Linked DNA regions of Arabidopsis thaliana. The protein of the gene in region 1 interacts with the protein of each later gene in a pairwise test. Each region holds a gene or a part of one and is shown in the gene's direction. Other genes may lie near its edges.

Region 1 (3,925 bases):
TTTCTTGTGATTTCGCGTTAGTTTCTACTGTCTATCGTTACTTAAAGATGCATTTGTTATTCCGGTTGTTGTTGGTTCGCATCTATAGAATGTTTAGGAGGAGGTTCTCTATCTATATTCAGTGATTCCTTAAAGTGTCTGTGCTTAGCGTTTAGATTCAATAAGGTTCTCTTGATGGTATATAAAACTCGAGTGTTGCAAAGTTCTCTATTTTCAATGATTAGCCCTTAAAATGTCTGTGCGTAGTACTAAATTCAATAGTTTATGGCGTTAATTCTGTAAACATGAGGGATTTAAGGTTCCTCTATCATGAGTATTGTCAGTGTAAAACCCTTGATGTGTCTGTGCTTAGTATGAAATTCAATATGTAATGGTGTTGTTTCTTAAAACTTGAGTGTTTTAAGTTTCTCTATTTTCAGTGATTTGCATGGTTGGTTTTTACTTTACTCATTGATTTGATGGCGCTAAGGTTTTTCTTGTCTTTTGCAGTTTTGCAGCTACTTTTAATGAGAAGATGATCCGGACCATTAGGCATTTCTCGCCACATTTAGCTGCAAAGATGAGGCCTCCCCACATGTGAGTAATTTTTTATTCCCATGGAAGAGTTACAGATGGTTTTTGTTATTTACTACTTGAGTGAACACCTTGCAGGCCTGTCATTCGTGGGCGATCTGCAACTAGAAAGACAGTCTACATTTGTGGCCAACCACGTTTGGTATTCGTCTTACTTGGCTTAACCGGTACTTATTATCTCTTTATCATATAATCTCTCTCACCTATTGGTATGCAACTTCTCTGTGAACTGATGCAAAATATATGATTTTCCTTATGTAGCCAGTTTTGTCCTGTGGTTTACTTCATGTGGTTTGTTATGGGTCCTCTATGCACTTACCACTGCCCTTCTCAGTAAGCTATCCTTGCTTTCATCTCTTTCTCTGTTTTTTTGGGTCCAGTTTCCATCCTTTTGACTTGTAATTTTTCTCTCTCCCTTAGTGATACTTCTTCATGCAAGCCTGAGAACTCCAAACCTCAAGGCCCGCTTGAACACATTCCGTGAAGAATTCAGGGCTGTCTGGCGTAACTACAGCGAACTTTAAAGTCAACATAAAGCATTGATTCGATCTTATTGCAAACCAACCCGGGACATCACAGGGGTTTCGAGGAAAGACATGAACTCCAATTCCTTCATCATGTGCACAAACAATCGCAGTTATTCTTGTCTTCCAGTAGTAAGCTAGTAAATTATAAGGCCACTGGTCTGGTTACAGATGCGGCTCTTTGTTCTAGTTAGTTGACTAGAACTACAAGGCAGAATATAGTGTTGTTTTCTTAAGGTTCTTTGTATACTCTTTCAGTCTATAAAGTGTGTAAGTGATTCAGTTTTACAAAATCTTTCATTGGCTTTTTCTACGTATAGTTTTTGGATTTGAGATAGAACAGTACAGTGCTTTATCAATTGTGTTTTAAAATTTTGGTAGACAAAACGCCAAAACATGTGGGCTTCGCTTGTGGAATCAGTAGTTCTTTTAAAAGAAGAATCAATCCTGTAAATAAGTGTTATAACGAAAAGCCCAAAAAACATAAGAGAGTCTAAATTAATTCCTAGAAGAGGGTAAGAGGCTTAGTGGAGCGGGCCTGGACACAGCTTTTTGTAGATATTAGAATTTTAAAAATTGAATTTCTTCACATTAAAATTGCTACTGGACCAAGTAAAATTCTGAAGGAATCAAAACGGTGCGTTCCGGTTACGGAGCACACACAGATAAGATAGGAAACCCTAAAAGTGCTTCTTCTTCTTCGTCTTCTTCTTCAGTTTTAGGTTACGATCGAAGCAAAAGCGGCGCATCTGAATCCCAAACGAGTGACGATGACGATCGATTCGCAGCAAAAAACGAGCAAATTCAGATGGGGGGAAATGGACGAAGACGAAGATCTGGATTTCTTGCTCCCTCCCAAGCAGGTGATTGGTCCAGATGAGAATGGTTTGAAGACGACGATCGAGTACAAATTCAACGATGAAGAAAATAAGGTTAAGATAACGACTAGGACACGTGTCCGCAAGCTAGCTTCTGCTCGACTCAACAAACGAGCCATGGAGAGGAGGAACTGGCCTAAGTTCGGAGACGCAGCCAATGAGGAAGCTGGTAGCCATCTCACTATGGTTTCTACCGAAGAGATCCTTCTCGAACGACCCCGAGCTCCTGGTAAATTCTCTCCCTCTGATGATGATGATGATTCTGGTGATTTTTGTTTGTTGAGATTCGTGGGGTTATTGGTTCGTATTGAATTTGGAGTTAAAATTATAAATTTGTGCACTTTGATCTAATTGAGTTGGTAAAATGTTCAGTCTTATGGCTGTGCTAATTGTGTGAATAAGTTTCTAGACTCACCTAGAAAGATGTTGTTTGTGATATGTTCTAACTTGGGATTGCTGTCCAATTCATTGTTTGATTCATTAGTTTTATTGTTTAGTCTAATACTATTGGGTTAAGGTGACCAATTAGCGAATCACATGTTAGCCGTGAGGCTACTTGTTTGTGTGATTGGTCAGTATGTCACCGATAGCAGTTTATTGTTTGTAGTCCATTCCTGAGTACGAGCTGAAATGTGCTCTCACTTTTGTGGCTGCTAACTGTACACATAGATGTTGCAGCTTTTCATTGGTCTCCTACTTGATGTTAGGAAGCTTTAGTTTCGATTGTTAAAGCTTTTCTCCTGTGACATGTTGTCTCCCATTTGATGTTTGGAAGCTTTAGTTTCGATTGTTAAAAATTTTGTCCTGTGACATGTTGTCTCCTTTTGTGTTATTACCTTGATGAAAAAATTAGATTGATGTAGGAGTCACCATGATCTTGTGTTTCAATGAACCAATGTCAAATGGTTTGTAAACGGGCAAAGTTTAAGTTCCTTGATAATGTTACTAGGGCTTTCGTGATCAATCTATTGATAGGTGAATGACTAGTTGTATAGATAGCCATCAAAGATGATGTTAATCAGTGGCTTATAGTGCAGACATAGGTTGCTATGTTTGATTCTGTGGCTATGCATTACTGTATCATTTTAAAGTTGACTATGAGTTGGCCATTGGTTCACAACTATCTTTCATTCTTTGTGTAATTGTGTGTATCTTAACGGTGTGTGATACTTCAGGTACCAAAGCGGATGAATCAAAGGCAACAGGAGATGGCTTGTCTCAGCTGGGTAAAGGTGGTGCAGTTCTCATGGTGTGCAGGATATGCCACAAGAAAGGAGATCACTGGACATCAAAATGTCCATACAAGGATCTAGCTGCACCAACCGATGTCTTCATTGACAAGCCACCCACAGGGGAATCATCTACCATGTCTGCTGCACCTGGAACTGGCAAGGCCGCGTATGTCCCGCCTAGCATGAGAGCAGGTGCAGACAGAAGCGCTGTGGGTTCAGACATGAGGAGGAGGAACGATGAGAACTCTGTGCGTGTAACCAATCTGTCCGAGGATACCCGTGAACCTGACTTGATGGAGCTGTTCCACCCGTTTGGAGCTGTCACACGTGTCTATGTGGCCATTGATCAGAAAACTGGAGTGAGCAGAGGATTTGGTTTCGTCAATTTCGTGAGCAGAGAAGACGCTCAAAGAGCAATCAACAAATTGAATGGTTATGGTTATGATAACCTCATCCTCAGGGTTGAATGGGCAACTCCAAGACCAACCTAGAAAGAAATGTCTGATGTTGAGACCTTAAAACTCTTCTCATTCTCGTCTTTCTTGTTATGGATTTTTGTTTATCGACCAGTTTGTTTGTTGGTTTGGTTTCTGTATGAATAGATGAGAATTTGTTCAATTTCTCTTTAATACATAAGGCATGCTTTTTAAAAAATGGATTTGTGTGATACGTAAGAGTTTTCCAACACTTTTTTCATTGATGTCTAAAATTATTTGTG
Region 2 (3,925 bases), on another chromosome or scaffold:
CACTGTCCATATCTTGTTTATTTATTAAAGTTATTAATGTTACATGTAGATGAAATGGACTGATTTGTGTATGTTTATAGCTATTTATGTAAGAAGAACAAGTAAAATATTGTATAAGTTCAGTAATGGTCGGCCTCAAATTTTTCCTATCATGAAATTTCTAAGTAAAAAAAGACAAGTCACATTACTTTAGGTAAAAAGTTGGCAAAACAAAAAGTGAAAGAAGGAAAGTCAAAACTCTTTATTTTATTGTCAAAAGTCAAATGTGTGCAAATGTAATATTGTTGACATTAAACAAAACAAATTAATGTAAAGATTATTCATAATGGAGTAGCAAAACAAATCTAATTAAACCCAAAATATATAATATATGATATATCTCTAGAAAACTTTTATTTATATCTAGCACCAAATTTTGACTATTTGGATTTTTTGGTCGGGTACTTTAGCCACCGGATATTAAATGCATCATACAAACTTTCAAATTAGGTGGAAACAAAATATATGTACGTATATATATATATATATATATTAATAAATCACTTTCAAAACTTTTAAAAGAAAATAAAAAAAAAGAATTTTAGATAAAAAGTAAAAGAGAAAAAGGGGAATATAAAAATGGAAAACAAATAAAGTTAGGAGAGAGGGCTCACTGTCCGAAGCAAAGAAAGAAATAGCAAAGTGAGTTAGACATGTGAGAGAGAAGAGATTCAAGTGTGTCCCCATTCTCTTTCCTATCCTTTAGTCAACAACACATCTCTCTCATATTTGGATATTTCTAATCAAGATCAAACTTTTTACAACAAGATTTGATTTTTTTTGTTCTTTTAAAATCTTAATTTGAATTAAGATGATATGAAGTCATTTCATACTAGTCTTGCCTCTTGTCAAAGTGTAACTGAATGAAATTTCAAGATTATATATTTATAAGAAAACCTAAAATTTTTAGATATATTTTGAAATAATCTTATAATTATCTATACTAATTAAAAATAAATTATAAATATATTATAGAGCAGTTGACCAAAAAAAATTACAGATAACTATTGAAGATATATAGACATGATTAGTTGAGGTGTAGAAAGTTTGTAAAGCCACTAAAATAGCTCCAAAATTGAAATAATCATGTTGTAGTTTTTTCTTTTTTCTAGCAAGAATAATATATTTTTGATTATTTTAAAAGGTTTGTACATTTTTCTCTTTTTATTTTCACTTTATTTTTTTAGTTTCTTTAGAAACATTATTATACTTTTCATATATATATATTGAATTTATCTTCAAATTTTGCATACATATTTTACCCACTAAACATGATTCCATATAAAAACGGAAAAAGTGTGTCACAGAAGAAATAATATATTACATGATATAATAATCTAAAATGTCAACTGTTTTCTTTAGAATATGTTAGAAAAGATTTTTTTTTTAAATCTTTATTGGTAGCAATGTTTATGAGAATAAAGCACATAATTGTCTCTCAATGACTAATAAATTTCGGTTTCAGTCAAAGATCTAACGAGATATTAGATTTGTAATAATCATCAAAGAAAGTCTATCCTTTTTATTAAAAACAAATATTCTTAAACAAACTAATACTTTAAATAAACTATTCTTAAACAAACTAATACATTAAATATTCTTAAACAAACTAATACATTAAATATTCTTAAACAAATATTCTTAAACAAACTATGCTTAAATCTTTCATAATAATCTTTCTCTCAATTGAATTTATCTTTCACAAAATTAAATAACAAATCAATTAAAGAGATATATAAATACGAAAAACAATGGTCGTCACTCTCGTTCAGCTTCTTTAGTTTTCTTCTAACTTTCAGAGAAAGACCTCTCTCAATTCAAAAGTTCACAATATTAAAAGTATAAATCAGAATCATTAAACTGTTAGTCTCTCTCTCTCTCTCTCTCTCTCTCTCTCTCTCTCTCTCTCTCTCTCTCTCTCTCTCTCTCTCTCTCTCTTTTTCTCTTCTTCTCCCTGAATTGTCTCATCTGTCTTCTTCCTTTGTCTCTCCTCTGATATACATTGTGTTCTCCTTCTCAGAAACCCTAGATTTCTCTCAATCAAATCTAGCTTTTCTCTTAGGGGGAGATTTGATTTTTTTCTCTGCAAGACTGTAACAGTAGGAGAAGCTACTTTCCTCTGTTTTCTTAATTTCAAATCTGCAATCGTACTTTTTCGAGTTCTATAAGTGAACTCAGATTTTAGCTTTTTTTTTTTAGGGTTCATAAGAACAAATTGGATTTTGAGCTCACAGTATAAATAACCCGACTTTGATTACTGGGTAATTTTAAAACCGCCATTGTTGTTCTCTTTACTACTTTTGGGAATTAGGGTTTATGATTTCTGGGTATTAGATTAGATAAATTTGTTTCCTTTTTTTGTTAATCAATTTAAAAATCTCTTATTTCTGTTAAAGACTTGTAATTTTGGAGTTTTTAATGCATGGACGGAAGAGAAGCAATGGCATTTCCAGGCTCGCATTCTCAGTACTATCTTCAAAGAGGAGCCTTTACTAATCTCGCACCTTCCCAAGTCGCGAGTGGGCTTCACGCGCCGCCGCCACATACGGGATTGAGGCCAATGTCTAACCCTAACATTCATCACCCTCAGGCTAACAATCCAGGACCTCCTTTCTCGGATTTTGGACACACCATTCACATGGGAGTGGTCTCCTCTGCTTCTGATGCTGATGTGCAACCGCCACCGCCACCGCCACCACCAGAGGAACCGATGGTTAAGAGGAAACGTGGACGGCCAAGAAAGTATGGAGAACCGATGGTTAGTAATAAGTCTAGGGACTCTTCTCCAATGTCTGATCCTAATGAACCTAAACGGGCCAGAGGTCGACCTCCTGGAACTGGAAGGAAGCAACGCTTGGCTAATCTTGGTGAGATCTCGAGTTTTCTATTCTGTGTACTTTGTCAAGTTAAGTTTTTGCTTTAGCTCTGTTAGCTAGTCTTGAAGGACATGAGCTTGAATCTTATGGATGCTAGAAGCTTTGAATGATTCTATAGTTAAGTTAGGTTTTGTTACTTTGTCGTTACTGATACTCAATATTGATTGTTGGCTATTAGTTTGACGGATCTATGTGTGGTACAATGCTAGGTGAGAGGAGTAATTGGTTATTAGTAGATGTGGACGAAATCGACTTCTTGATTTAAGTTATTGATTTAGGTTTTTAAGCTGTGAAAGAGTAATCTTACTAATCCATTCATGTTTAAGTAATTGGTCATCATAATGTGATTAATCAAACTTTAAGTAATAGCAAACTCTTGACTCTGATAATTTCTTTAGGTGAGTGGATGAATACTTCAGCTGGACTTGCTTTTGCACCTCATGTGATCAGCATTGGAGCAGGAGAAGTAAACTGACCAAAACTCCTTTATATATTAATGATCATTTATGCAGCTTTTCATTGTATCAATTTCCTTTTATTTTTCTTTGCAGGACATTGCTGCGAAAGTTTTGTCATTTTCACAACAAAGACCTCGGGCTCTTTGTATAATGTCAGGCACTGGAACCATTTCTTCAGTCACTCTGTGCAAACCCGGTTCAACCGATCGTCACTTAACATACGAGGTTTCAAAGTCGTTCATTCAGTTAATCGAAAAAGAAAAACCTGAAAAGATTTCTTATTTAATCCTCTTTCTGTGTTTCTTAGGGACCTTTTGAGATTATAAGTTTTGGTGGATCTTATTTGGTGAATGAAGAAGGTGGATCCAGAAGTCGAACAGGCGGATTGAGTGTCTCTCTTTCTCGTCCCGATGGTAGTATTATTGCCGGTGGAGTTGACATGCTTATCGCAGCCAACCTTGTTCAGGTATATTAAATTCTTCTTCTTAATGGTTGTAAAGTGAAGCTAAAACGAGGCGAAACTAACTACGAATGTTAGCCTTTGATATGTTT

What was found.
Region 2: the proteins of EIF3G1 (region 1) and AT1G63480 interact in a two-hybrid assay, tested with the Arabidopsis thaliana proteins (one large-scale study listed by BioGRID).

What each region holds. Positions count from the first base shown.
Region 1 is NC_003074.8:3,576,669-3,580,593, forward strand, and holds EIF3G1 (eukaryotic translation initiation factor 3G1), read left to right. Parts: upstream 1-1,719; 5' UTR 1,720-1,867; coding exon 1,868-2,204; intron 2,205-2,492; coding exon 2,493-2,521; intron 2,522-2,582; coding exon 2,583-2,634; exon of another isoform or gene 2,635-2,641; intron 2,642-3,150; coding exon 3,151-3,698; 3' UTR 3,699-3,901; downstream 3,902-3,925. Other genes in the region: PRA1.A3 (prenylated RAB acceptor 1.A3), read left to right, coding at 490-576, 652-740, 835-906, 994-1,097.
Region 2 is NC_003070.9:23,540,222-23,544,146, reverse strand, and holds the start of AT1G63480 (AT hook motif DNA-binding family protein), read left to right. Parts: upstream 1-1,913; 5' UTR 1,914-2,461; coding exon 2,462-2,906; intron 2,907-3,313; coding exon 3,314-3,381; intron 3,382-3,466; coding exon 3,467-3,598; intron 3,599-3,680; coding exon 3,681-3,839; intron 3,840-3,925. UniProt on the Arabidopsis thaliana protein: Transcription factor that specifically binds AT-rich DNA sequences related to the nuclear matrix attachment regions (MARs).